Linked DNA regions of Oryzias latipes. The protein of the gene in region 1 interacts with the protein of each later gene in a pairwise test. Links are inferred from orthologs where the notes say so. Each region holds a gene or a part of one and is shown in the gene's direction. Other genes may lie near its edges. The genes, in order: mkrn2 and rack1.

Evidence for each region.
Region 2: the proteins of mkrn2 (region 1) and rack1 interact in binary tests that used the Homo sapiens proteins (3 or more experiments, as listed by UniProt). The two-hybrid records come from large-scale screens. The link is inferred for Oryzias latipes from reciprocal best matches to the Homo sapiens genes MKRN2 and RACK1.

What each region holds. Positions count from the first base shown.
Region 1 is NC_019863.2:19,257,095-19,272,425, reverse strand, and holds mkrn2 (probable E3 ubiquitin-protein ligase makorin-2), read left to right. Parts: upstream 1-7,494; 5' UTR 7,495-7,591; coding exon 7,592-7,617; intron 7,618-9,024; coding exon 9,025-9,153; intron 9,154-9,254; coding exon 9,255-9,367; intron 9,368-9,458; coding exon 9,459-9,584; intron 9,585-9,665; coding exon 9,666-9,844; intron 9,845-9,926; coding exon 9,927-9,992; intron 9,993-10,062; coding exon 10,063-10,211; intron 10,212-11,984; coding exon 11,985-12,095; intron 12,096-12,164; coding exon 12,165-12,309; intron 12,310-12,386; coding exon 12,387-12,554; 3' UTR 12,555-14,322; downstream 14,323-15,331. Other genes in the region: tsen2 (tRNA-splicing endonuclease subunit Sen2), read right to left, coding at 286-513, 581-620, 712-778, 1,345-1,515; mkrn2os (MKRN2 opposite strand protein), read right to left, coding at 3,403-3,625, 3,695-3,863, 3,999-4,048, 5,527-5,729. UniProt on the Homo sapiens protein: E3 ubiquitin ligase catalyzing the covalent attachment of ubiquitin moieties onto substrate proteins.
Region 2 is NC_019868.2:17,066,867-17,081,892, forward strand, and holds rack1 (receptor of activated protein C kinase 1), read left to right. Parts: upstream 1-6,550; 5' UTR 6,551-6,667; coding exon 6,668-6,776; intron 6,777-7,143; coding exon 7,144-7,315; intron 7,316-8,040; coding exon 8,041-8,188; intron 8,189-8,456; coding exon 8,457-8,552; intron 8,553-8,761; coding exon 8,762-8,872; intron 8,873-9,119; coding exon 9,120-9,260; intron 9,261-9,464; coding exon 9,465-9,575; intron 9,576-9,790; coding exon 9,791-9,856; 3' UTR 9,857-9,901; downstream 9,902-15,026. Other genes in the region: collagen alpha-1(XXIII) chain, read left to right, coding at 25-63, 145-153, 672-722; nme5 (nucleoside diphosphate kinase homolog 5), read left to right, coding at 10,792-10,920, 11,685-11,890, 12,797-12,897, 13,092-13,210, 13,300-13,359; heterogeneous nuclear ribonucleoprotein A/B, read left to right, coding at 14,612-14,826. UniProt on the Homo sapiens protein: Scaffolding protein involved in the recruitment, assembly and/or regulation of a variety of signaling molecules. Interacts with a wide variety of proteins and plays a role in many cellular processes.

The sequences.
Region 1 (15,331 bases):
TTGCAACACTTTTCAGTAATGAAGTGCTGCATATCAGCACAAAGCTGCTTTTCTCAATAATTCCGTAAACGATTGAAGAGTTAGAATAAGTCAAAGAGCATGTTATTTCCTGTTGTCTGTGACACCTCTGGTTTTAAAGAACTTGTGCCATTTTTGACTGGGAAGAGCATACTCCAGTCAACTTGGCAGACCCATTTCACCTCTATTTTGGTGTTTTGAATTTGGGTGACATCAGAGATTATCTGTCCATTTAGTAAATGTCTATGGATGAAACAAGCACTTCACCTGCATGGTCTCTTGGCCTCAGGCTCCGCCTCAGATTCCCTTCCCAGACTTTTTGTGTTGTCACAAACTCCATCCTCAGTCTTTGCCCCCTCAGCCTCCCTCAGTTCACTCTTCACATCCTCTATCTCCAATTTCTGCGTTAGTTTGTGAAATATTTGATCCACAGCCTCTGCAGACATTCCCTGAGCACACAGACTTGCCTTTGCCCATCCAAGTAGTTCCTCATACCTGTAAAAGACTGAAATGTAAGGCAGGAAGTGATGTCATCAGCCAGACAGAACAAGATGCTGCTAACCTGGCCTGAGAGACAACGGGAAGGTACAAATCTTCGAAATCTGTAAGACAAACAAACCAGCTGACTGCACAGAGCTGTGTGGGTTAGACCAGATCAATGATGATCTCATGCAGGTGCAGGTGTAGACTCACCCTCCCATTTTTCTGAAATGCTGTGATCTGGTCTGGCTCTGGACAAGATGCCTTTTCCAAAATAACCCTGAAAAATCAAACCTAGTTAGATAAAACTGAAGTAAATCTCCTTAGTTTTTACTTGGTTCTTTCCATCACTGCTAGTCCTTGTAGTCAGAGGCATAGAGCAGCAATAGTGTCACCATAGGACCAAGGTGGGAAAGAAGACAATAATGAAAACACAAACTGACATGTTTCTTCCCGTTTTAAGAGCTTTCCATCCAGGAAACTAAAGGGTTTACATTCAGTTTGATTTGATCAGTTTTGATTTATTGATCATTATCATTTGGCATGATGATGAAGTCCTCTCGTTGATTATTTATTATGGTAAAAGAAAGACGGGATGCAATAGATTGTTTTCATCAGAGAAATACAAAATTTACGCCCAGCTTTAACAGTTATCTGAGTCCAGCACATTTAACTGTTGCTGCAGATGCACCTATAATGTATCAGTGCGACGGCATTAAACGAACAAAAATAGTATTCATGTAATTAAGGCATTCTAAACTAAATCCTATAATCTACACTGGATCTTTTCAGTAACATTTTGCAGGATTGCTTTGCTGTCAGTGAGTCGGAACTGGCAACCCTGACCTGGTTGTGTATCTTCCTGACATGGTCGGGGTGGCAGACAAGCACGTGCTGGTTGATGAGCTCAGCCCGGTACACGCACTTCTCCCCGGCACTACGGATGACCGGCAGCGGAGCCTCCAGTTCTTCGTAAACACGCGCGCGCCGCCGGGGAGCGCGGAAGTCGGCCTGCATTGCTGTGGACCCGTTACTAAACGGCTGACCTCTTTGTGGGATTCTGACCTGGAAATTTGTGTACTGTTTTCTGAACCAGAATAAATGTGGGTTTTGCCGTGCACGTGGGTCCTCTCTAATCAAACTGGTCCTTTCGAATTTTTTTCTCTGTAGTTACTCATACTTTTACAAAATTGCTCAAGAGAGCCACCTATTGGCATGGAGGTAAACTACAATCCACCTTTAAAGCGACATACAAACAGTCCATGATTCCCTAAAGTTTGCTTGTCTACAATAATGACTATGAATGAAATTGAAAGGAAACTATACAGGTTTCCTAGTTGGTTTTATTTAGTTTTTACCACAAACTAATTTAAAAACAACAATAAATGCTCCACTGAACATGGGATAAGTGTAATACATCACACCAAACTGAAACAAAAATATTCATTTCCAGAATTTGTCAAAAATGTAAAATTATTACTAGTTCCATCCTCTATGTTACACATTAATAAACCAGCAGAGGTCAGACAATTTTGCACATCCTTCAAGAAAATTTTACTGTGCCTTAATAAATGCCTCATGAAATCTTTTAAATCAGCCATGTGTTTGCTTGAACTTGTATTTTGTCATTTCTGCTCATGTTTGTGTATACATGTCTTTATCTCCTGTGTTGTTTTGTCAGACATAAAAATGAGCAGAAAAATCCTGCTCATTTTCAATAAACCGAAAGGTGAACAACAATACAAGATAAATGTTTAAATATTGTGCAAAATAAAATTAAAAAAACAAGAAAAAACAAAACAAAACAAAAGGCAAAATGATCTTTAGCAACAATAAAACCACTCTGAGGAATCCCTCCACACTTACTGTATCTGCACAGTTCTGATACATGTTTGTTTTGTTATTGCTTCATTGAACGAATAAATAAAACAGACATCCATCAACATTTAGTTTTAAACACCAATAAAAAAGAAACATGTTGGAGAAAAAAAAAAAATCCCAATTATGTTTACGACTTTATGTTTTATGTCGGGGTGTCGTCTCTGCAGATGGAGACAAACTGGGTGAAAATCTTCTGGTTTAAGAAGTGCGTTTTAAAAGAATAAAGTTTATGTACTGAATGGTTTATGAGCCAGTTTTGATTTGTTCTGATCCGTACTGCTGCTGGAAAGCAATATATCATTCAGAACTTGTGTCAGTGTGACCGCTAAGGGTGTATTCAGATTCAAATCCTTTGTTCTTGTTGGGAAAACAGTATAAGAAGCAATGTGTGTCACGTTGAAAAGTGTTTTAATGAGCCTGCATACATCCAACCAAATTTCAATGAGTGCTGTGTCTCATTGTTCTGGTTTCATGGCATAGTTTTAAAGTAAATTCTGTTAAGGAATTACAAGGTATTTTTTATGGTGACGTTACAGCACCGCCGGGTGCATGCCGCGTAACCACACAGAAAAGCATGTAAGACGCATTTTCAGCTGAGTTAAAACAAACGTAACAAGTAAACAGTTGGACTCTTTTTTTCCCTCTTTGATAACATGACAATCATTGCTTCACATTTCTTCGCAGCTCATCGGTTCCTTCATTCCTACTCTGTTTACGTCAGCTATGGGGGCTGTTTTGGTTCAGTTGTTCCGCTCAGAGGACGGATTGTATTCAGACTGAGGAATCCCAGAGCAAACCAAAGCTTGGTCCGATTGGAAATGAACCAAGACCCCCTCCAAAGATGGGTCAGAGAGCGGTGTCTGGTCCTGGACCAGGGTCCACCTGGGTGTATTCAGACTGAAAATTTGTTCCGGATTATCCAGGAATGAAATCTGGTTCACTTAAAACAAACCAAATGTGTCCAGTCTGAATTCACCCTTAGTCTAGTGGGTCTGTTTTCATTGGGTCAAAGGTCAGGCCACTTTAGCTACTGGGTTCTGCTGCCTGCGGTCGGTCCACCATGTAGAACTGGTGTTTCTCGATGTGTTGGACCAGTGTGGTATATTTTGACACCCTCTTCATCCTTGGCAAGATGAAGCAGCGAGTGAAATCCTCTTTGCTCAGGGAGCTGCAACCCTCCACTGTCAGGACGGTATTTAGAAACTGCAGGCAGAAGCTGAAGCAGTTGTGGTCGTCTTCATGGAATCTGGAAGACAAAGGTGGGTAGGGGCTTTGACTGGCATCACCTGTGTTGACTGTGTCACCTGTGAGTTACCTGTGCCACACAGGGTCCCACATGGGTCCCTCTGAGAAGCGCTCCAAGTACTGATCCCACTGAGCCAACAGGTGGAACATGTCTGGTCGGACCAAAGGGATGTTGATGCAGCGCTCCCAGCCTCTCTGTTCTTTCTGCACCCCATTCTGGGTGTAGTTGTACACCACTCCTGCACACAGGTACCCAAAGGTGAGCTGCAGGCATGAGGGACAGCTTCCAAAACAATTTAACTGTGCTCTTGTCTTCACAGCAGCCAGCAGAATTCCAGAGAAGAGAAGTTGGACTCCCCAAAAACAAGTTTTACCTTTTGTATTGGAGATCCCAGTGTGCAGATCTGAAGTCCCATTGAAGTCGCTATATAACACACAGTAGGATGAACTGGTTATATACATGTGTCAGATTGGTTCTGTTAGATGGGGCTGTATGTTTTTCCAGTCTTGTCCTCACCATTTCTGTGGTTTCCGCAGTGGGGATGTAGATCAGAAGGGCTGACACATCATAGCAGACCACGGTGTCATCTGTGTTACTTGATACCAACTTGATATAATGCACCTTGCTAACAAAGCTCTGGATGCTGGGGTGTAAGGTGTTGTCCAGCAATGAAGTTGAAAGGATTGTGAGGTGTTTGGTGATGTTGTAGGTGGGTTACAGTACACACATTTATTTTTGCCCATTTGATAGATGAAATCCAGTTAGTAAACCAAGTGCAAGAAGCTTTTGTTTCAAAACTTGCTGCCTTTTTTACACATACAAACATTTAAAGAAAGTAACCCCTAAACAGACTCAATGAAAACAGGTGTGTTGAAACAAATACTGAAAAGGATAATGGGGAAATGGGTTAGCCTACAACAGGGGAATGGAGAGGGTTCTTTTCTTATAAACAGTATGTTTGTGTGTATGACATGGTTTTCGAATCGGCTGCATGATTTGTGTCTTTTTTGTTGAAAAATATTGTATATAAACCCCCCCCCCACACAAAATATAGCATCTATTTAAAAGGAGATTTAAACTCCTTTTTCACAGTGAGAGTTAAGGAAACACAGCCACACGTACAAGTGGTTCTTCACAACTCCAACCTTGTCTTCAAATCTTTAAAAAGAAACAAAAAACCTTGTATCCTCCCTTGTGCTCATACAGCATTGGTAAATGTTAGTGTTGGTCTTTACCAGTTGAGCTCTGACTCACGGACAGTCACCTTAGTAAGGTCTGCCTTTTTAATCTTAAGCAGGTGTGCAGGTGACATCTGAACCTCCGGTGGCTCAGGTTGCACCTTGGCATGTCTTAGAATCTGCTAAAGCAAAATACTTGCAACCAGTTTCACTTCTTCCGCTCCTATCCCTCCTATCGAATGATGTTTAAAGGCTAGTTTCCGAGCAGGTCTCTGATTTCTGATCTTGATCCAGATCGTTCTGGTTTCTGCATTGAGACGCCAACGTCTTCACTTACCTGAGTTCTCTGCACAGTCTGACACAATAAACCACATCCTTTACTCGCTGACATGGATATTCAAGTCTAAAAAACGGAGCTTATCTGAGCCAAGCATCACTGAACTTCATTTTATAGAGTCAATGGGGATACTGGTTCCCCAAGGCTGAATTTTGGGACATTGTGTCTATTAACACACAATCCTTTTCCTAAGGTTTAGTCATCAACTCTTGTTGTTTTTTTTGTTTTATATTATCACAGATGATGACTACTGGACCTAGGAAGTGGCCTGTCTTTATTTGTCTTCCACACCAATCCCACATGTTTCTGTCTAAACTGCTTCTGAATGACCCTCTGGGTAAACACATCAGTTCTCTGTATGCTTCTTTATTCATGATCGCTCTTACCTGGTGTGGTTGTCATGTGCAGGTGCAATCAGGAGGCAGCAGGAGCTCTTGTGGCCATTGGTAAAGGGGGAGGGCAGGCTGACCGGTGCCTCCTGCAGTCTGCTCCCCCTCAGCTCATCACCGCAGCTCGGGCACTGTTCCGGAACAGAGAAGCAGAAGATGTCCTTCTGGCAGTGACTCAGTCGGATCACACTGGGCTCCATCTCCTCTCCTTTTTCTTCTCGACTCAACTGCTTCTGTCAGACTCATCTACCCTCAGCTCTTTTTGCCCCCACCCTTGACTCCCAATTCTTTCTTCCTTACTTGGCTCCTCCCCCTCACACAGTTGCTTGGTCACAGCCTTTCATACGATAGCTTTGTACCTGGCTCCAGCCAATCAGGTGCCAAACTACTATAAAACGGTCATGTGATCTGCCCCACCTGTGTCTGTTTACCTCTGAACATTGACCTTTGGAATGTGTGCCTATTGTTGTCATGGAAACCAACAGTGTTGGTCTGGAGGAAAGTGTCTGACAAAATAGGATGTCAACTGAGAAAACAAATGAAACTAATACAAAAAAATCTGAAAAGTCTGAACTAGGTTTTAAAATGTGTACGTTTACATTAAAACTTTCTTTTTGTTTTTATCTGTGGAGGAGCTACATCTCCTAATGGTGCAGAGTCATGATTAAAGATTGAATTATTAAAACAATTTTCAGGTAAATTTTAAAATGAAAACCTGTATGAGTAGTAGAACAGAGATGTGACTGGTCAGTGGACACTTTTTCCATCTCACAAGAGATCTGATCTGACAGCTCAGGTGAGTCTGAGACAGACTTTCTTTTGTGGACAAATGTCACAGAATCTCCCCAGGAAGGTTTCAGGAAGGTAGTTTATGCTGAAACCAAAATGACCAATTTTACTGAATTTGTTATTTATTTATTTTTTTAACACTGGAACTTGCTTATAAAAAAAGAGAGAAGAAAAATAATATAATAGCAGCACCATCCTCATCTTCTATGTTTGAACCAGAAATAGGCTATGTTTGAAAAATATTTCTGAAGGAATAGTCAAGACATATTAAACGTTTTTTTTTATGGATGAAAGATGTCATAAAAAATTAACTTGAAAAAGAAGAAACAGTTTTTATTCAAAACTATGCTTCAAATTAGACCCTTACCATCTTGTCCCACAGCTAAAATGTAAGTATGATGGAGTCAGTGTCCTTGTCAGAGCACACATTGTTTAATCTCACCAGATAATAAACATATAAGACTTTGATGAAAGTAGTATGCAATCGGGTTGCATTTAGTTGTTTTATTTTTGCTATCACAGAAAAAAGCTTCCCTGTGCAACCCCATTCCTAATGTCACAAGAAACACAGTTGGTATGGAAATAATCAAGCACACATGCAAAAACTTCTGCAACAAAGTGATCTCTGTCTGTCAAAAAGGATTTCCTGTTTTTCCCACAAGATCATAAAGGCAGCATTTGTTCCTCAAATAGGACTTAAATAGCAAGATAGCAGGAAAAATGAAGATGAAAAAAAAAGAGAAATTATTCAGTTTAGTCATTATCTGTTAAAAATACTATAGTCCCGTGAGCAAAAGTTGTTTAACTAAACACAGATATCCATTAAATTTCAAATGCAACATATGCTACACATGGATCATTTTTAGCTAAACAGAGCATCTATTTGGCCACAAAACTCCTCTCTCTTCTTGTCATTATTCTGGTCAGCAAGAAACATCAGAAACAATAAAATAGGACAGGGCATAATAAGCAGTAATAGACAAAAAGTGTTTTTCTGACTCCAAATGCCACTGATCTCACGGAAATTGACAAGATAAGAAAAAAGGTTTTGTTGAGCATATTTTGGTCTTCTTTATTGTCCATCGTATTTTTTGTCTCTCTGAATGACTCTGTCACACGATGACATCATTTTCATGGTCAGGTCGTCCACATGGGGTGCTGATGCTCCATGGCAGCCGGAACTGACCTTCGTTGTCTGCTGCTCCCTATCGGAGTGTTTAGAAGGGAACACCAAACACAACTCCGACTGCAAAGTCTGAAGACCGCGAGGAAGATGAGCACCAGACAGGTGACATGTAGGTAAGTGTGCGGTTCTCTGCCCGTCTGTCGGTCACTCGTCCGTTCGGCTTGCTGTCCGGACCTGACTCAGGGTACTGCGCACGCGCTTTCTTCTTCGTGCTAATGTTTTTAGCTGTTAGCTCCGAGGTTCGAACTAGTTTGGACTCACCTGGTTGGTTGACCTGATAAAAATCAGAGGAGCGCCACAGCTCAAGTGGGAGGACACTTCACGAATCTATTGGTGATGATGATGCCAGTTTTTGTGTGGTTTTAGGGTGAGGCTCACGCGTTACCATAGCAACGGTCAGCAGGTGAGGCGCTGCCTTCTGGATGTTCAAATGTATACATCAATGGTCCATTATTATTTATGACTACAGGGAATGAATCCCCCAATATTTAACGAAAGTCCAAAAATATTTAGGTAAACTCAAGGAAGAAATGAGTTTACCAGACTGAAAAAGTGAAAATCCTGTTACATTTTATAAATAACATGTTTCTGATTTGTGAAAACGGAAAAAAGTGTAATTTCATTGCTCACAGTATCATTCCTATGAGACAAAGCGAGACACATTTTAATCTGTAACCACATTTTTTGTAAACTCTTAAACTTTACATAGAATTGATTTTCAATAGAACCTTATTTGTTGTTGGTCACCTTTTGGCATATCCCCCCAGGGGTCGCCACAGTGAATCAGCCTTCGCTGAATCAAACAGGTGTTTTGGCCGACTTTTTACGCTGGAAGCCCTTCCTGACGCAGCTTACCCTGCCTGACATAGCTTTTAATTGCAAAAAAATCATCCCCACAGGTGTAAAATAGAAATATATTTATCTTTTATGGAGACGATTATTGCAAACAAACAATATGAATGTTTACTTTTAATATATGGCACAAAATAAACACTCTTAAAACAACACTGGAAAAAAAAAAACTCATGCCGGTTGATCCTGAAAGTAATCATAGTTGCTTTCACAGAGCAAAAGACAAAGCAAAACATTAATTGGGTGAATAAGCAATAATATAAAGACAGTGAGAAAGACAAGGATACATCTGATTTTTAGCTAAATACAGTATACTTTCAAGAATAAAAAGACAAACTGCTTGGTTTGATCTGATCGCTTTTTTCAGAAACTCAAATTGTTCTGACAGATGTATAGAGAAAAGCAGATGTTATTTGCATGTGTTTACATGCGACCAAGCGCAAAAAATGATGGAAGATGCACATGCATTGCCTGCACGTATTATTAGTGCGTCGTAGGCTAAATGCTGTTGTTGGTTGCACGTATTAACCTGACCCTAATCGTAAAACTTCTTGAGAGAGCAAAAGAATAGAGGATCAAAAAGATGGAGAAGAAGACGATTCATCGCTATGGTTACTTGCTGCTAAACTAAACATGTCAGCAGGGTTCATTGTTGTTTTTTGTTGCAGATATTTTATCCATGGTGTATGCAGAGAGGGCAGCAGGTGTCTGTTTTCTCATGACTTAACCAACAGTAAACCCTCCACCATCTGCAAGTTCTACCAGAGAGGAGTTTGTGCCTATGGGGAGCGCTGCAGGTGAGACCGCACCCACCTGTTTCTTCTAAAAAGTTTTGTTCAGCCGGCAAGCCAAAGATCGTCTTCGGGACACAAGCACAATTTGTGTGTTTTATTTTTAGGTATGATCACATCAAACCTTCATCCAGAGGGGGGAGTACTTCAGAGGAGACCCCCAGTGGAAGCAGAGCTGGCCGAGGAGAAGGGAGGAGGGCGCTTGTCTTGAGGGACAGAGGTGGGGTGCCAGCTGCTTTGCCCTAAAACACGAACAGATGAACTCAGGGTGCAGACATCTTCCTCACCTCAAATGCCACCTCTTCCTGCAGCTCTGGGTCCTGATGGTGCGTTTGGAGGCTCAGCAGACGGTCTAGATTTCTTGGCAGCAGCGGCAGCTCCACAGTCTTACGTGGATGCTATCAGAACTGGGCTTGACACCTCCACACAGGATCAAGGTGAGGCACAAACACACTCATTTGTTTGGCTGGTGGTTTTGTGCAATGCCATCAGTAACAGATTTTTTCCTGTGTTTTTAGCGTCTCAGCCGACAATGGCTAATGCTTTGCGAGAGTTCGCCCCTCTGTGCCCATATGCCGCAAATGGACATTGCTTTTATGAAGATACTTGTACATATCTCCATGGCGACCAGTGTGATGTGTGTGGACTGCAGGCGCTACATCCCTATGACCCTGAGCAGAGGAGAGCACACGAGAAGGTGTGCATGTTAGTTTTTGTTTTTCTTCATCCTGTCTGACTGTCTGTTTTGAAACTGCTTCATTTTTTGTTCCTGTCTGCAGACATGTCTCCTTGCATTTGAGGCTGACATGGAAAAAGCCTTTGCAGCTCAGCTTAGCCAGGACAAGGTGGGTGCACTCAGTCCCAGAAATGGTTTCTGTGATGGTGGCAGCCCTGACCCTCGCTGTTTTTATCCAGGTGTGCTCGATCTGCATGGAGGTGGTGGTACAGAAGGCGAATCCGTCAGACCGGAGGTTCGGCATCTTGTCCTCCTGCTGTCACGTCTTCTGCCTGGGTTGCATCCGACAGTGGCGCTGCACCAGAAGCTTCTGTAACAAGATCATAAAGTGAGAATGGCATGCAGGTTTCAGGAAAGGGTCTGGGGTCGTCTGTTATGATTCTGATTCACAGTAAAACCGAGAAAATATATTCTACTTTACAATGTACAGTATTTATTTGTGAAACCTATAGATCCAAATCATTTCAAAGTAGATTCAGTTAAATTTTGTTTTATAAATGATAGTCCACAATTGTTTTAACAATTTGATTAAAAAAAGTCAAACTTGTTTCATTATAACAAAATAAAATTGCTTTTAAATTTTAATTTTGACCTGAACAGTATATGATTGTAAAATCATGATTATATGAATCTAAACTGAACTGGAAAGAAAATTGAGAATAACATTCAGCCCGCTATTCTACCAAGGTTCTAAAGAATTCTAATCAAATATTTAGTGTCTTTATTATTGAAAATGTTTCACCTTTTAACAAAAAAAATCTCATGTTTATGTCTATAGTTTTTAGGGGCACATTCACACTGGCAGGTGATTCGCACCAGGCTTCATTTCATCCCATGTTCCTCTTGGTTTAGCAGATTTAAAAGCTCCCCCAAACTTTAGTGTGACTCAAACAGGTAAACCCTTTTTCTCTTTAGAAAAAAAGACCCTAGTTTGCCCGAGTGTGAATGATCCACTGACAAAAAACAAACATGAGCCAAAGTTAGGAGTTGTCAGAAGTGCTGACAAATTAAAAAAAAAATCATAACAGCTTAAATATTGAGAAAATGCAGAAATCATGAGTACGTTAGACAACTTCTGCTCTGTAAGTAGGGTGTAGCTAGGAGATACAGGTATGAATTAATACATTATTGTTTGGGGGCTATCCAGTTTTCTTATTTTTGCTTCCTTTAATTTCCAGTTTGATTACTGACCTCAAACGAGCAGCTCTTGGAACTGCAGATTTTTTTCATGCATTTAGTCTGCTTCTCTCTTAATTTTTCTTTACCAAGTGTGCCATGTGAATGTAAACTAAGTTAAATTGGTTGAAACTTTATTGCATTACCTGCACATCTGAACCAAGGTGAGAGGGTATATCCTTGTGTGAAAGAAACACACTTTTTAAAGTTTGAAGTTCAAAAAAATCTAAAATAATGAAAAAACCCTGAGAACATTTATGTTAGCATGCTAAGTCCACCAGGCGCTACACCAGCTACAGCTACAACGACGAAGTCTGTTGTGCCATCTTCAGAAGCAGATACATTAGTTCAAGTTGACTTTGATGAGAAGCCCACTCATTGGACTTACTAGTTGTCATGTTGTCATGATTGTGTCTGTTTGAATCTTTTACGTTTAGCTGGTACTAGACTGGTAGCATGGTCCTAGATCTGAGGCTGGAGTTCAGGAGGCGATTTGATTAGTTGGGTCTTACAACTTTTCAACTTTGACAGAAGTATGGTTGCCCAGTCTTAGTTATTTACAACTACCACCTTGCTTGTTACCCACTTCTTCCTGCTTCACTCACTGCTAAATACTCTTTTCGAATGTGTTTGATCAGTCATAACTTGGAAGTATCAACACAAGTGTATCCTACAGTTTCAACCAGCTGACATACTGTAGCTACATCTTCAAACATGGCCCATCATCAGGTTTCTGTTGCATCAGTGGTTTGATGTGATCTTGACCTATTCTGATGGGTTCTGGGTCTCATTCAAGTTGTCGATCTAAGTAAAGTCTTGGTTCTAAATAATCACTCATAGCTTCATCAGCCTTTCAGAACTGCAGGGTGTATTGAAGTCTTGAGAGGTTTGCATGTTTTGACCATTGCTTCACTCTGCACATTAGATCTTGTCCAGAATGTCGGGTGGTCTCAGAGTTTGTAATTCCTTCGGTGTACTGGGTGGAAGACCAAGACGAGAAGGATCACCTAATAGAGCTCTTCAAGTCCGGTGTCAGGTAAGCTTCTTGCCTGTGCCACGCTCACTTCATGTAAGCCATTGATCTTTGATGACTGTGTCTTTGCAGCAAAAAGGCCTGTAAGTACTTTGATCAGGGCCGCGGCTCGTGTCCCTTTGGGGGAAAGTGCTTGTATCTTCACGCCTTCCCAGACGGAACCCGAGCAGAACCGGATCGGCCTCGGAAACAGCTGAGCTCTGAAGGGAACATCCGGGTAACAAGCTGCTCCTGTGTGCTCTTAGCTTCTGGGGTTTGTAGTCTATTAATGTAGCTTTGGTTCCTTGTGTTTAGTTCATGAATAACGTCCGCCTTTGGGATTTCATCGAAGAGCGCGAACAGCATTCAGGCCCACCTTTGCCCCCCATGGATGATGACATCGCTGAGCTGCAAGAGCTTTTCATGCAGATGTCAGGGCCAGGCCAGGAGGGACCAGACCCTCCAGCCCCGTCACACCAGTAAAGGCTGCCTTTCCTTGTCACCATGGAAACCTGTGGCACATCAGGACTAATGCTTTAAAAAATTAGGCTGTGTGAGCTTGTTTATGACATAAAATGTTTTATGTATTGTACTTACAAGTTAACACAGAATCATTGTGCCGTGGGACTTTGGTGTGAAATTTATACATTTATTCCCATGCCTGAGTGAAAGCTGTACCTGCAACAAGTGCAGTGAGCACAACCATGCTGTAGCCACCTGTTTATGAATTTATCCTTCAGACTGCATTGATGTTCACTTGAGTAGCTCCTTACTGCCCCTTGTGGCTCTAGAAGAAACATTAGCAGCTGTTCCACCATCTGGCCACATAGGATAGTGATGAATCTGAATGTGAATATCTGAAAAGATTGAGATATACCTGAACAACAATACATTATCATAAACTGGCTTTCTATTGGCACCAGCCATTTGCTGGGTCAAGGCAAAAACCACTCCATACCTGTTTGGTCAACAGGAGCTGTAAACTGGAACCAGAAGGTAGTTTATGTTTGGTAGGAGAGGGGCACCTTTTTTCATGCACAATTTTAGTTGAAAATTAGATTATTTTAGCTTCACAAACCTCCAGCATATCCTGAAGTCTTTAAACTATATTTTGATATTTGATCTGATGAGAAGAACCAGAACCATGTGGGCAGGTTTTCATGTCAGAAATATTAACTTCTGGACAGAGATTTGGAATGATTCTAGAATGTGGTGGGACATCTCAAATTCAGGGTCAGATTCCCAGTTTCTTCATTGCATTGTTACCGTTGCAGTTAGCATCTTTTCTCCTCCCTTTGTCAGATTCGATTTGTTTTTCTCTGATTGCACCAGACAAACGCATCATGCTCCCTGACATGAGATCTACTGTTTATTGTCAATTATGTTTTAGGACATGAAGCTAAAGAACCTTTTAGAGGATAATAAAAGAAAAAAATCATCAGTTATAGAACATTTTAAGAACCATGTTGATTTATTTGTGGTTCACCATCTGTACTTTCAAGCTTATTTACCCACAATTTAATGGTGTATTTTTAAATATAGCTCCTGTTTGAACAACCTGACTGCCGAAACTGTAAAAAGAAATGGAATGTACCTTTTCACCGTCACTGTTCATCTTCCTTGTGCTCATTCTGCAAAGTCTGCAGCAATAAAAGTTTTTCAGAGTCCTTAAAATGGACTTAGGAGGAAAAAAAAGGGAATTTAAAATGTGGGACATGTACTATTCAGGTTCTCCTAAACATGGGGATAAAACAAATCTGTAAATGCAGGTCAGCTATAGAGTTACACCCCAGTCTGGAGAATTTTAAATGTATGTAACATGATGGAAAGAAAAACAAATTAAATGCCTCAACGGTTCAAAAACTCTCACAATAATCCCAGGAATAAAAATTATTAGTAATAAATATACCAAAAAAAGAAAAAAGAACGAACTATTTAGCCTATATAAACTGTATAGAAAAACCAGTTCTCTGTTCTTTTGCTGCTTGCTGGGGGTGTGTTCCAACATTTGCACGTTGCCTTCGCAGATCTTTACCCAATCAGGTGCTCCAGACAATTAAGGAAAAATCGACCAAGAGAAATAGACAGACAGCCTCCCACTCCTACAGAAAATAATAAATAAACGGAGACAGAAAATGCCATCAAGAAAAAAGAATGGACTCATATATAGTCATTGACTGGTTTGTTTGACAACCCTCCATTTATTGTTTCATGATTGACCTCAATCAAATAAAACCTTCATGCCAACCTGTTTAGTTTTTGAAGTTTGAAAAGTTCATTTCGGAGTTCAGTTGTTCTCAAGCAATTGAGAAGAATCAAAGTAAGCAGCTGACAATGACATTAACATGTCACCCACCGCTACAACAAATGAACACAAACTGTCATTTGGAAATAACACGACATCACACAACCTTTATTTCCACCCATTTATAACAAGATTTTCCTTTAACTTCCCTCCACATGCAGACCATCCATCCATCCATCCATCCATCCATCCATCCATCCATCCATCCATCCATCCATCCATCCATCCATCCATCCATCCATCCATCCATCCATCCATCCATCCATCCATCCATCTTCTAAACTCACTTTATCTCTTTAAAATGCCACTGAGGTTTGTGAAGGAGGATTGTGTTTTACTGACGGGATGCTTTTGAGACTTTGCTATAAAGCAAACATAAACTTAGCAATTAAACAGGATTGTTCTTTGTTTACTGCCTTTTGGAAAGTAGCAGGAGAATAACTTTTAACTCTGATGTTTTCTACCTTTTATGTTTTTAAGAAGCTTAACATAAAGACTTCATGTTTTGTCAGCATGAAGATTTTGAGTTTATCTTCTCTAGTAGAGGTCAGGGACAGTATGTTGAGGTGGACTAATTTGCTGCTCTCACAGAGTTCCTTTGTTGATCTCCAGTGGTATTGTGAATGGGTTTATGGATGCTAACAGGTGTCTGGTGCACCTCAATCCTGGCATCGGACACATCCCTTTTGTTGTCACGAGTGAATAAATCGAACATCTGTTTTTTCATGGGAGACCATTTCTCAGTGTGGAAGAAGAGAACCAAATCCGATTCAAGGATTGTGTCTTAAGGAGAAAGTCAATTTTTCTGGCATAGAGATTTTTGGCAGATAGGATCTCAAGTTTTATAAATTGATACTTTTGTTAAAACCTGGGCTATGAATAATGTGCTCTGTGAGGGAAATATATTTAAAGTTGAACTTTTTATTTGGATTCATTAAATTGTTCTAGACTGTGT
Region 2 (15,026 bases), on another chromosome or scaffold:
AATTTGAATCTTTTCCCTCTGCAGGGATTGGATGGGTTACCAATACCAGGCTGCTTGCATAAGGTGAGTTCCTCATGTCCCATATAACAAAAATTAAACTGAAATTATGACTGGACTGAGAATATCTGATCTGCTTTAACACAGGGGCACTTTGTGAGTATTTTACAGTCTGTGCAGGCTTGCTATTTACTTGTACACTAATCTGCCCTTACTATTTTTTTCTTTGCAGTGATGACTAACCAGCTGCATGGAATCTGTACATATTGATATGGTATATTTTGCAACTGAATACAACACCAGCAGCCTTACTCCCCATTTTTTTAATCAAATCCTATTACATAATATATTGAAATTTGAGAAAAAGAACAGTTTTGAGGTTTTTTTAATTTTTTTTTACTTGAGATCCAGTTTTGTTAACGCAGCCACCAGCTGGCAGAGGGACTCTTAGTTTGAAGGACGGTCCAGATGGCAGTGCTGAAGTAGAAGAGGGGCCTCACTAACACAAACTGGTTGATGTAACCATGAATGGGACTTGTGGCAGTGTGTTGGCTCCCATCCTCCAGGACATGGATGTTTGAACGGATGGACTTTTTCTTTTTTCTTTTTTTTTTGCCAGATGGAGGTTTGTGTTGTCAGCACTCTCTTGTCCTCTCTCTTTGTTTTCTCAAAAGGAGGAAATGGCGAGGCAGAAGCTCAAACGCAAGCGTCTCTCCCAGCCCTGAGAGGGGGTGGGGCTTGGTGGAGAAAGGCAGCAACAGAACAGGCAGAAAGCGTGGAGGGTAGATTGGCTTTTCGGGAGCAGGGCTTGCCACGCCTCTGCGTCATTTTACGAACGCTCACATCCTCCGTTATGGAGTCTCTCCAGGAGGGGACGACAGAACTCTGCCTCTCCACAAACGGAGATGACGCTGATGATATTCCGCAGTTGCTTTACAGCCAGGTTTTTGGGGGATTCACAGACGTCCCTGGCACATAAGGAAGGATTTACCTATGTGGGAATAAAGGACATGTGATTGTGACATCTTGTGTGAATCTGTTGTAAAATATATGAATGCATGACCATAACAAGACTTGTGTTTAGCATCTTGTATCGACTGTGTCCCGAAATGAAATTTTAAACAGAGTTTGCAATCTTTCTTTACAAACAAGTCTTTAACAAACATTTAATGGCTCACATTTGCCTTACATTTAATTTTTTTGTGTACTGTTTCCTATTTTTTATGCATTCCTGTGCATTTTCTTTGATATTTACTGAAACATCAAGGCCAGATTGAAGGAACCATGAACAGTATTTGTGTAAATCAGAATTGCCTTGGTAACCAGATGTCCGATCATTACGTATTACCTGCAGAGGACGTTCTTTGGTGGTTATTTTTGTTTATTTAGGCAACGGAAATATTTGCTGCTTAAACAAAGGTTTGTCGTTTGCTTTTTTAACGTATTTTCTTATGAATTTTACCCAGGGAATGAAGGACTAACGTGCTGAAGTTTGACGTTTGAACCAAAAATGCATGCAAGATTGTGTTCATTTAAATCAAACAATCCCCCTATGACATTTCTGTCATTTTACTTTTGTTTGGGCAGATTCTTTAAGCTCCTTACAGTATTTGTCTCTTCTAGTGGGTGGCATTTGTTGCTGTTGTCATTTTAGATAAAAAACACTCAGATGGGTGCTCAAAGACATGCACAACAGCTGAAGATACTTTTACAGAACTGAAGGAAATGACTTGTTTTGTTTGTTTCTGTAGTGCCTTTTTACATGAATTTTATTACAGCACTAACTTACCAAAGTACCGTATGACATTTTTACCAAACATGCATGCAAAAGTTCTACTGTGTTTGTTCATATTTAACATCCGTTTATCTTAAACATATCCATCGTTGTTTTGGCTGAAAGGTGTATGTCATTGACTTTTTCAATCATTTAAATGCATAAACAGAACTGACAGACACACAATTACAGCAACGCAATAAAAACTGTATTTTTTGTGTATTCCTCGTAGATATGAGCTGATATTTTTTCTCATCAGTACAATTGATTGCTTCTTGACTTGGACGGCACATATGTTTTCATTGAAGCTCGGATCCAATCAAAGAATTCACATTTTAACAATAGAAAATTTGAAATTAAAATACTGATTGAATGATAGTAGCCACTGATTCACAACTCGAGCTTTAGGTTGCGCTGCAATTTTTGTATTTTTGCTACTTGCTTCTTGCAGTGTTGTTGTATAAAATAATTAAAGTAGCTTCCCCCTTTTGATATCAATAAAGTTTTACTCTTTTCAATTCTAAAATCCATTTCATGTATGTCGTTTATGGAATGAAATATTCCATAAACGACAGTTTATGTCAGTTTTTCTCTGATGACGTTGCATGTTTAACATAAGCTGCAGTCTTTAAACCAAGATAAGCATTTGTTAAGAACCATGAAGTATTTTTGCTGAATGAGGTATGCATCTCATGACTAAGAGGTTCAACAAGTGTTGGCATTACTTCAGTGGGAGCTGGCGGTTAGCTGTGACACAACATTACAGTGTTTTATTACTGTTACAGATTCTATCAGTGCCTTCCTTTTAATTGCTTCATAAAGTGAGCTCATGACAAGTTATAGTTTGATATTTAGAAAATCTTATAGCACAGAGTTAGCTTGATTTTGTTAGAATGTGTTTTGATTTTTATTGGGGGATTTTTTTTTTTGGAGTGGAGGGTGGGAACGTTTGAGGTTGTAAATTGAAGATTAAAGCTATTTTTGTAATTAAGTAACATGAAATCTGGTGAATCAAAGTTGTAAACAGAAATAAACGCTCTACGTTTATGCTTTCTTGTGATCTCTTTGTTTAAAATTGTTTTATCCATTTTTAATTAAAATTCTCTCCATGGTGTTGATAGTAACATTTTGCATAAGTAATGTATTACAGTAATTTATTACTTTTTGGTGTAGCAAAAGGATATAAAATATTTTTTCCCGCTCATGATCTGTCCGACATGTACCCTGCATTTGCCCTAAGGTAGCTGGGATAAGCAGCAACATCCAGACCCTTCTGGAAACGAAGCTGGTACTGATAATAATGGGTAATAAATTACCACACCGAATCATCTCCATTACATTCTACGAGTAATTAATGGACTCATAAGACAGATTCCAATCACATCTTGTCCCAAAAAAACCATTGAAGCAACACTCAAACATGGTGGTAGAAGAATAATGATTTGAGGTTGCTTCACCTTTTACGGGAAGTTTTCAACAGTGATGGAATTGTTAATTCTTCTCAATCAAAAACTTCTACACAAAAAAAAATCTTTTACAATCTCTTTGGGGTTTAAAGGTTCTGCACCAGAAAAATAACTCCAAACTTTAAGACCTTTGAATGAGTAGAAATAAAGGTTTTGATCTCACCTAAAATGAGTACAAACAAAGCTGAGAAAATCCTGCAACTAATAAATAAAAGGATTTCAATTGTATTAAATAAAAAAATCGTATACTTTGTGAACCCTGCGTCAAAAAAGACATGCTGTCTGTCACTGATTTCACTTGCAAAATGCTGCTTAAATGTTAATCAGTGACAAGTGTCAATGTAGAGTCATGAATACACTGTTGGCAATGTCAGTTCTAACTAATGGATTTCTGCAGACTGCATAACTGCAATCATTTCACATCAATAAATCATGTGAAATGTGAAGTCAAGTCTGTGCAGAACACCATCAGATTCTAAACAAGTGTTGGACTCCAGGAGCCAAAAAGGTGAGAGTTTTATTGCTCCTTTCTGTAAATATGATTCAAAAAATGTCTAAGATGTTGTCCATTACCTGAGAGCTGGAATATGCTCGGTGTTGTGAGCCTGAACACAACAAAATTATGAATATTGATGACTTGGACAGGTAAAAGAAAAGGAACTCTTAATAGAAGTTAAGAACCAGATTGTAGTTATGGGTAAAAAGTTCAATTAAAAACATAAACAAGTGGGATTACATCAACTCACTTCCTCTCCCTTTGAAGAAATTAAACTTTTTGGACAGACTTCATATTGAATGGATTCAGTGTGTTATTTATTGTAGATATAAGCTTAAACATGTCTATTTGTACAGATTTTCCTTTATTAGGTATTTGTTTGAAAATCTACACAGAGTATGTTATTGGTTTTATTGTATTGAAGATGCTGATGGTGTATTTGTAGTACTGGACTCTCCTGCATCACCACACTTTATCATACTTGTAAGTGATTATTGTCTTTGGATCTTTAGTTTTCTGTTTGGTGGATCAAGCATCTTTACATATTTACACCGCAGGATGAAAATGAAGAGACCACTTCTGCTGTAACAGAAATTGACAAAGCGAGACCCATAGAGGTATATGATGCCCCCCTCTTTCTTATTTATTAAATGAGATAAATATTGTCATTGAAATTTTACAGAATATTGATGGGGATGTAAATGCAGATGAGGGTCAGTGTACCTCCACCATGACTCTTGGCAGTGTAAGAACATTTCTGCAGCTACAATTTTCTCATGTTAATATTTGGTCTGTATTGCAAACGTCTAATTCCAATTATGTGGAATTACTTTGTCTCTGTTGTTTCCTGCCAGAGAGATGTATAAAGTTCATCTTCTAAGGCAAATTAGAAAATGTGACCTTTAGATGGACCTTATACAACTTAATGCCTAAAAAAGACCAGCCTTGAAATAGAATTGCTGGAGCACCAGCTTAAGGTGAAAAACAGTATGTGTACATTTAATCTGTTATTTGTTAAATGGAGCATAAAGAAATAAATTCACTTTTTTATTACAGCAAATAAAGAAATAACAACTAGCCTTTGACTCTTGATTGTTATTTGACATAAATTTGTCAAATCATGTCCCGTACCACCCTGCCATCTCTTTGGTCAGCTGGGTTTAATGGAGCATTCACTTGGTCGTCTTTATCAAGAGGTGGCGGGGCCCTCTCACCTATCATGCTGGGGATGTAGTGAAGAACAACACGTGCAGCTGTGATGTCACATGCCCTCTCTGGGCTGACCCTGAGCCTACATAGGCACTGCCATCTTGCCTTCAGGATGCCTATAGTCATCTCCACCCTGACCCGTGTTCTGCTGTGGGTCAGGTTGAACTGTGCCTGTTGTCGAGTCTGAGGATCAGGGTAGGGGGTCATCAGATATGGCAGACAAGGATACCCCCTGTCCCCCAGCAAGTAACCACTGAAATGTCCTATAATGGCAGTTAAAGTGTATAATTTACATAACATTAAATGCATGACATTGTATAAAAAATGAAGGTAAATTATACCCTGGTGAAATTTGGGGCACAATTATGACTCCCTAAAAATTCTGGCATCACGAACAGATCCTAGCTATTTGGCTTCTTTTGTTTCTGCTTTCTTTTGTTTTGTGTGCTTGAATTAAAAAAACAATTCCAAAAAGATGGATCATCATACAAACTGCCTTACACCTCATTCAAATATAGAATTCTTTGTCGTATATTTGTCTCCTCTGCTTCTGCATGATCAAAATAAAGTAACATCGCAGTAATGCAAAATTGATTATTTTCGAATAAAAAAAACAATCTGTAATATAATGAATGGAAGTACAGCACAGTAACAAAAAAAGCATTTGGCAGTCACTGATTCTTCAAGATGTCGCACTTTTAAAATGACAGGTCAGTAATGTTCATCATAGATACTATTCAACTTTGAAAGACGACAACATGTTAAAAAAATCTAGCTGATCACATTGTATGATTTTTAAAAATGTGTTTGTATAACCCTTGTGCTATCCTAGGCACTTTAACGTTGGGAGTTGGGTCATCTAGACCCACAGTTCACTGAACCTTTTTTCTTCAATGATTTGTGATCTTCACTGGTGTCCATGGATTACATGAAATCTTTCCACCTTTATCCACTTTTTTCATGGTAGGAATAACACGTCAATGTAAGGGTGGGGGTCATAGGATAGCACAAGGGTTAAACGGGCACAGAAAAAGAGTACGGTATTTGATCAGAAACAAAAGTTCATCTTGAAATGCTTTTTACGTTGCCACTCCTTTGCTGCCATAAGTGGATGTGGCTGTGGCTGTCCAAACACTTTGCTCTGACAACACAATGACAATCGAAGTAAAAAAAGAGTCAGAAATCTGAGATTATTTTAAACAGCACAGAGTAAAAAAAGTTTAAATTAGACCAATTAGATTAATTAATTAGGTTAAAATGGGGGGAGGGGGTTAGAATCCGAAGAAAAAAGCCAGAAGTCGTAAAAAAAAGTCTAGAACTCTGACTGGATAATTTAGAATTCTGAATAAAGTCAGAAATCTGACATTATTGAGATAGAAAAGGTTTGAATTCTGAGATAAAGTGAGAATTTCCCTTTCTCCGTGGTCCTAATCTTCTTCCGTACGTAATAAAGATAACTATTGGGATTTTTTTCCCCTTTCTTTAAGAGAACTTTTAATTGAAAAACAAGCTAAGAGGTGCATACATCAATGGCGTAAAGCAGACTACTGCGGTGTAGTCAAGTCCACCCGTCCCAGAATCCTTTGCGCGACCTTTCATAGTTTCTGCATCCGGGGTCGTATTTCCTTTTCCTCTGTGCCTAGATGCGATGAGGAGCTAGGTTCGGCTGAACCTGTCTAAAATCCGAATCCATCCTTGTAAAAGGCACCACCGAACCTCCCCAAAATGACTGAGCAGATGACAGTAAGGGGGACCCTGAAGGGGCATAGTGGATGGGTCACACAGATCGCCACTACACCTCAATACCCCGACATGATTCTGTCGGCGTCCCGAGGTGAGGCTTCGCCCCGCCGGCACCGCCAACATGGCTAACGTTAGCTCTCAGCTGCTTGCGTTCAAAATGCTGTAACTTTGAATTTGTTGCGTGAGTAAATGAAACCAGCTAGATTTAATAAACAACTACGGAGGTTTTTACCGTATATAAAGTGATGCAAAATGAACATTTGTAGACATGTTAGCAAAGAGGTAAGCTAGCTTCCTGTGACATAGCATAATATGTGGCAGCTGCTACCTCAAAAAAACTTAGTTGTAACTGAAGCACTTTTCTTATTGATGCACATTTTATTTTGAAAAAAAAAATGTATCTGAATAAATATAAAAGTGGTTTGAATGTGTTTATCTAAAGTATCTCTTGCTTTCAGACAAATCTATCATCATGTGGAAACTGACCCGTGATGAGACCAACTATGGCATCCCCCAGCGCTCCCTGAAGGGCCACTCTCACTTTGTAAGTGATGTTGTGATTTCCTCTGATGGACAGTTTGCCCTGTCAGGAGCCTGGGATGGAACCCTCCGCCTGTGGGACCTCACCACGTAAGTGAAGGGCAGGAAGCATCTCTTTAGTGGTTGGTGGCAGCATGATTTTAATCATTTATGTGAAGCAGCTGCCAGCCAGCCATTCATTTGTGGAGAAAATGGGATGTATTTTGAAAAGATGCCTAACACATATGTACTAAAGACTATCAAAAGAAGACGAGTACATTTACTGATTACATTCCATGATGCATATAAATACCTTAGATTTCAGATTAGTTTTGTTGTTTTGCTATTGAGAGATTTGGAAATCAATTTAGCATGTTTCTTTTTAAAATGAGGTTTACCTGCATCCAGTCCAGTCATTTCAGTTTTTTAAGCACCAGTTTACAGCTTTAGTTGTTTCTAGGAGCCTCACAAGTCATGAAACGTCCAGTCAACCTAAATTCATTGTTTTTAATTCATTCCACCTCACATCATCTTTAAATGCCAAATTCTCTCAACTTGTATGTTTAGTCATTTTGATGGAGATCTATCCTGTTTATATTTTATGGGATTGAACTGACTTGTTTTAATGTACTATTGTCTCTAGCCTTTACCTTTTTTTGTTTACATTTGATAGTTTCACAGCTTTCTAAAGGCAAACCTTTATTGATGTTCCTTTCTTGGTCCGTCTGTTGTGGAGTGTATTTCTTAGCTGTGGTGTGATGACAGGCGTCCTCTTCATGTTTTTTTTTTTTTTTATTGAAAGCCTCTTGCTAATAGGTAAATGTGCCATTTTTCAGAGGGCTCACCACCCGCCAATTTGTTGGACACACCAAGGATGTTTTGAGCGTGGCCTTCTCTGCTGATAACCGCCAGATCGTGTCTGGCTCTCGGGACAAGACCATCAAGCTGTGGAACACTCTCGGCGTTTGCAAGTACACCATTCAGGTGAGCTGCCGGATAATGCTGCCTCTTTGTAGATCTTATGACGTCCTTATCCGTGCTGCAGGATTTTATTGACTTTGAACTCCTGTGAAGAGTTGACATGACGGTCAGATCATGAAGTTAAGCAAATTAAGTCGCTAACCTTCAAAAAGAAAGGCTTTACTGATAATCTCGTGCTTGTAAATTTTGTAAATTTATTTTAAAAAATCACATAAGCATTGACCTGTAATCAAATAGATTCCTGTAAAACCGTATGTGTTTGATTTTGCAGGATGAAGGCCATACTGAGTGGGTGTCTTGTGTTCGCTTTTCTCCAAACAGCAGCAACCCCATTATTGTCTCCTGCGGCTGGGACAAGATGGTCAAGGTTTGTACTTCCGCTTCCCTTCATTTGCCATTAGATTGATTTAAAAACAATAGAAAAATATGCTCCATGATTTTAAAGAAGTTTGCATGTATTACCTGACCTGGTTTCTGATGAGAAGCTTTGTGGATGAGAGCACGTCTCCACAGTTTTATCTGGTCTTTTCATGTCAGTGTAAACTTGACGGTCACTGTCTGCTGCTGTTTCTATAGGTGTGGAACCTGGCGAACTGCAAGCTGAAGACTAACCACATCGGCCACACTGGCTACCTGAACACGGTGACCGTATCTCCTGACGGCTCCTTGTGTGCATCCGGTGGAAAGGTAAGCTGGTTCAGTTGGAGAACTCGACTCGTATACTTGTGAAGATTTTTAGTGATGGCACACAAAGGCCGACCTCCAGGTGTCAACTGTGATGGATAAATAACACATCATTCTGTTGGTAAACAATTGATGACAAAAGAGGCTGTTTCTGAGTGACACTGAGTCGTAAAGCCACGCTAAATGAAGATCCAGAACAGAGCTGCTGTGTGGTCATGGCTTATTTTCTTGTTAATGTTCTCTCAATCAGGACGGCCAGGCTATGCTTTGGGATCTGAACGAGGGCAAGCACCTGTACACCCTGGACAGCGGCGATGTCATCAATGCCCTTTGCTTCAGCCCCAACCGCTACTGGCTTTGTGCCGCCACTGGCCCTAGCATCAAGATCTGGGTGAGAGCTCCTACGTGATGATGTGGAACTACTGCTGAATGTGGTTTGATGGGCCTTGATGAAACTTGAAAATGCTAACTGTATTGCTTGATGATAACAGAGGCTGTTTCTGAGCTCCAGACTAATTAGCTTCAGTCATTTCTGTACATTGCCTGTTATTTTGAGTTGTTTTAGTCATACGGTAAATGTTTATTCTGTGTGCAGGATCTGGAAGGGAAAATCATTGTGGATGAGCTGAGACAGGAAGTGATCAGCACAAACAGCAAAGCCGAGCCCCCACAGTGCACCTCTCTGGCATGGTCTGCTGATGGACAGGTATTCAGCTCCTCTTGACATAAGTACAAGATGGGGCTGTTGCTAAAGCTAGTCTGTCCTTCTAACCCCCAGTGATTATACCCATTCACTATTAGCTCTGATTTTGACTGCTGACAGTCCTGCAAATATGAGGGGAAAGGACAAAAATCAAGGCTATAATCAATGTATTTAATGGTTTTTGTGATCAGTAACTTCCATCCTTCATTTGCTTGCAGACCCTGTTTGCTGGTTACACCGATAACCTGATCAGAGTGTGGCAGGTCACCATTGGAACCCGATAAGAATCCATCGCTGCATCGACTTTAAATAAAAAGACTGTTTGAAAAGTTGTGTGTTGGTCTTAACTTTAAATATTTTACTTTCACGCAGATTGAGTTTGTCATTTTAGAAGACTGCTCATAATCAAAGTTTTACTTATAATATTGATGCAAGATCATTTAAAAAGCTAGTTAACAAATTTAAGTTTGAAATGTTGAGGTCTACATTGAATCATGAATAAAGTTAATTGTAGGAGTGAAACATTTGAATTGATTTATATTCCTATGATCCATCCAGATTGATGCATGTGGCAAGTTAATCAAAACACCCCAGACCATTATAAAATCGTTTAGAAATGAAATTAATCAATACTGGAAACTGCCTTTTGGATTGAAGCATGGGTTGCAGCAAAAACTGATCATTCCACTCCAATGTGCAGAAATACTTAATTTTGCAAAGATGTGACCATCCAGTGTGGTAGAATGTTCTCTTTGGATTAGGTTGATGTGGAAAAACAGTGGGCTCAACTTTATGAAACTAAAATGTGAATGGATTTGACATTAATTCTTGTTTACTAGTTTTTTTGTACACAATTTAAACTTATCTTGTAGGAAATACAAGGTACCAGGTATTTATCCGAGTCACACTGAAGTTTTGGCTAAAGATCTCCTGGATCCATTTTAGGTCAGTGAATCGGATCATTCAAACTGAATCGATATGAATCAGCAACCATAAATATCGAATTATTGCTAAAATCTATCATTACACCCTTAGTTTTCATTCTTAAAGGCTTCTCACGTGGCAAGTAGGAAATAAAAGAAGTTTGTCCCTCCTCAGCTCCCGTACTTGTGAAATGGTAGCGTAGCAACCAAAACAGCGCAGGGGTATTGAATTGGTGGGACGAGGAGGACTTCTTGTCGTTCCTATAAAAATCAGTTTTACTTTGCGTGAGACAGAGATGGAACTTACGCATTTAGGCGATCAAATTCGTGTAGAACGAACACTGGCGATCATAAAGCCAGATATCTATGAAAAAGCCGAGAAGATCGAAGGTTTCATCCTTCAGTCGGGCCTCACAATCCTGCAGGTTAGTAAATCACTGATGCGCAAACCTACACGTCTGAGAACTGAGACTATTTACGTTTAGAAGGAGTAGTTTTCTGTGTGACCAACGTTTAATTAACGCAGTGGACACATGTCTACTGCCATGTGAAGTTTATTAACAATAAAAATAAAGGTTTTTTTTGTTGTTGCTAGAAGTATAAATAAAATGCTGTGTAGAAACTGTTTATTTTTCCAAAATGTAACAAGAACTCACACACAGTGGCCAAATGAGCAGTGAGATCATTTGGCCACTTGAGGGCGCTAATCCAAACAATTCGGTGAGCGAGCTAAAGTCATTTCTGACACAATTAGCCCTTGTGCTATCCTAGGCTCTTAAACATTGGGAGTTGGGTCATCTAGACCCCACAATACAGTGCGCTGAACCTTTTTTCTTCAATGATTTGCAATCTTCACTGGTGTCCATGAAATGTAGGATGGCACAAGGGTTAGAGATGCAGAAGACAAGAAGTTTTTTTTAAGGATGGTACAAATAAAATTTCTCAGTCACGTGAAGGAACAGTAATGTATTAACCTACAAGATCTTCTAGCTTTCAGAGCAAAAAAAGGTTAGTGGTTTCATTATAACTGCAGGTAAACGTCAGTTTTGAACAGCCTACTCTAGCTGTTAATTCATGTAGGATGTTTGAAAATCATGAGGACATACGTGTTTGAAAAAAACCTTTCTGTCAAGTTTAAATAGTCATCTCTCCTGCCATGGTTCTGCTGTCCGTTCTCCAATCCTGTTAGAAGCGAAGGCTGCAGCTGAGTCAAGAGCAGTGCAGTGACTTCTACTCAGACTGCAGCGGAAAACCTTTCTTTCCGAGCTTGATGGCTTACATGAGCTCCGGCCCGATCGTTGCCATGGTGCTGGCTTGTGAGGATGCTGTCACACGCTGGAAGTCCATCATTGGTCCTGCCAGCATCACAAACGCCAAAGAAAGTCAGCCAGAGTGGTCTGTTTCATGTTTATTTGTGTTTATACCGTAACAGAGGAGTACATTTGTATTTATCAGTGTAGATTTTTCATTTCATTACATTCATAATAGAATAAATTTTACTATGACATGTCAATGAAGAATATCTGGATCAGAGGTCTGCAACCTGAGGTTCCAGAGCTACATGCAGCTCTATTATCCCTCAATTGTGGCTCTTTGGCTTTCAAGAAAAAAAGCATACGATTGTAATATATCATGCTTTTGTGGTTTTGGTTCTTTTTTTTCTCTCGTTAAGTTGTCAGTTATGCTTAGATTTTTATCTCAGATGCCCATACTGATGCAGATAAAGCACATTTTCCAATCTTCTGCTGTACCACAGTGTCTAGTTGCTGTTCAGAAGCAAAGTATTCAAAGTAAATAATTGTGTTTACATGTATGGATCTAGAAATAATGATGTCATTAATATATTTGATAGTATTGTAAAAGGTAAAAAAGCAAGACTGTGCACCAAAGACATATTTGTAAAACATGCCATGTTTGATTTGCAATTTTATTAGCCCTTTTAATTCTGTAAATCTGCTAACTTTAAATCTGCTTTAGCAGATGTTTGTATTTTATTTTGAAAATGAAATTGTTGTGCAGTTCTTAAAAGTAAAATAGATGTGATTAAACAATTGATTAAAACTATGTCATATATATTTTTCACTTTAATTCAGTTATTGTCGATGCTATAAAGCTCCATGTTGTGAATGAATGGCCACAAAAGCATGAATAAGGAATTTTTCCAAACTTGTGAAGTGGGACTTTGCGGCTTCTACTGTGTTTTTCTCAGTAGAAAATTAGACCAAGTGACTCTTGTAGCTTAAAAGGTTGCAGACCCCTGATCTAGATCTTTAGTCTGATGATATGGCTGATTTTCTCCAGTCTTAGAGCGAAATATGGAACTTCTGACCTGAAAAATGCTCTTCACGGCAGTGAGTCCTTTCAAGAAGCTGTGAGGGAGATTAAATTCATGTTCCCAAACTGTAAGCTGTTGTTTCTTTTTTACACATTTTGTTGTCTATAGGGCTACTACAACAAATACAAAAACATGTAAACTTGTTTTAATCCTTCACTCACAACTAGACTGAATTTCTTTTCTACCAATTGTCACCATTCTCTTCGTATTTAATGTATAATTTTATATGACTTAATAGATGTTTCCTGTTTCTCTCTGTAGCTTTCATTGAGCCTTCCCCTTCAAAGCATGAAACCAAGGAATACCTGAGCAGGTGTCTGAAGCCGGTTTTGCTTCGTGGACTCACAGAGCTTTGTAAAGAAAAGCCCCTCAATCCTGTTGTTAGTTTACTCTATGCAGATTTTTCTTTTTATTGATTAGTAGCATTTTCCTGTTATTTAATTATTTATTTATTTGTTTTTATTTACAGATTTGGCTTGCTGACTGGCTGCTGCAAAACAATCCGAATCAGCCTCAAACATATTTCTAACTCTTGGATGATATCAAAATAAAAGACTCAGGAAGTTCCAGATGTATTCAATTTATGTACCACTTTCTATGAATAAACACACAACTTTCAGCTGTGTTTGTGCATTAAGTTTGTTTTGTGACATTATCAACTAAGTTTTGTTCTAAATTGTATTCGAGTGTTTTTTCTAACATACTGAAAGCTTTTATATTTTTTAAGAATTGACTAGATGAATGTGCTGCATTTGAGTTGCGTCGAAACTTGTGAAAACGGAAGATTTTCGATCGTTAATCTCGCTACGGAAGCGTCATTTTTTAAGTAGAAAAAACACTTGATGTTTACAACATTGTCGCCGTCGTATAAAGTGTTCATCAAATTACAATTACAACAGGCATAGAAAAATGTAAACAACCTTAATAAAGTTAAGTAAAAAAAAAACAATAATACAGAAAAATACAAACTTAAATAAAAAAGATTAAGATAAAATTAAAGAAAGGGGATACATGGGCGTTGTAATGATCATTCATTTAACTGATATCAGTGAACGCCGCACTTCTTTTTTTAAACTCCTTCCCCTCGTCTGCGGGGCGGAAACGAGTGGTGTTAAAAAAATAGAGGAGAGAGATTAACTCTGGTGTGATAGGTTGATTTGTGATTGACAGTCGGCCTTGTCCAATCAGAAAGCTTCTTTGGAAAAATGTCAATTTTTTCCCCCTGCCGGTTCCAGAAAACCAACCATGAGTTTCTCGTCGCGTGGGAGAATCCATTTTGAAGAGAGCTCTCCGGCTGCTAGGCTTGTAAGTAGACTGTTATAATTTTTTTTTTCATCATAACTCGACGCAATCGCAATTTTACCTGCATTCTTTGTTTGTGTTTTAAACGGTTCTCATTATATTGATTACAGAAGAACGATATTTCATGATTTTAATAATTTTCAGGGCTGCGTGGCCTCTGACTTACGTAACTGCGAATTTAATTTGCACAGTCCGGGTTTATCGATGTGAGATGGCTACAACGTCGCTAATCTCTACGCCCGGCAGAACAACTCTTGATTGGCGATAGTCGCCGCCATGATGATGTTGTAAAAAAGATGAGTTTTTGGTGCTATAAACCCGGTTTAAACTGGAATGTATGAAATGCCAATCTGCTGGTCAAAATGGTGGGAAAAGCGTGAATTCGTAATGGGGTAATGGCGAACAGAATCACGACAGACGCCGACATTAACAGGCATGTTTCTATCGTTTCCTCGGGTGTAGGTGTCATAGTACGAAAAATGTCTGAAGAAGCGGAGCAGCAGTACATGGAGACGTCGGAAAACGGGCACGAGCTCGACGATGATTTTAATGGAGCCGGCCTAGTCGGCGAGGGGGAAGACGGCGGCGCCGAGAACCAGTGCGACCAAAGCGGGGACGCCGAGGATGGGAGCTCGCAGAACGGCGGCAACGAAGGAGGCCAGATCGACGCGAGCAAAGGCGAAGAAGATGCGGGGTGAGTGGGAAACATGCACAAGAACAAAGTTCTCCCAGCAGGCATCGCTTGACAAGCTAGGTGGCTGGCAGTGCTTCTTTGTTCCGCCGGCCTTTTGTTGGCGCCATGTATGGATCTGAGTGGGGGATGGGCGCTTCACCTGAAACTTAATCAGACGAATATGGGTTTCAAATGTGCAAATTTCATGTTGGCCAGACTGT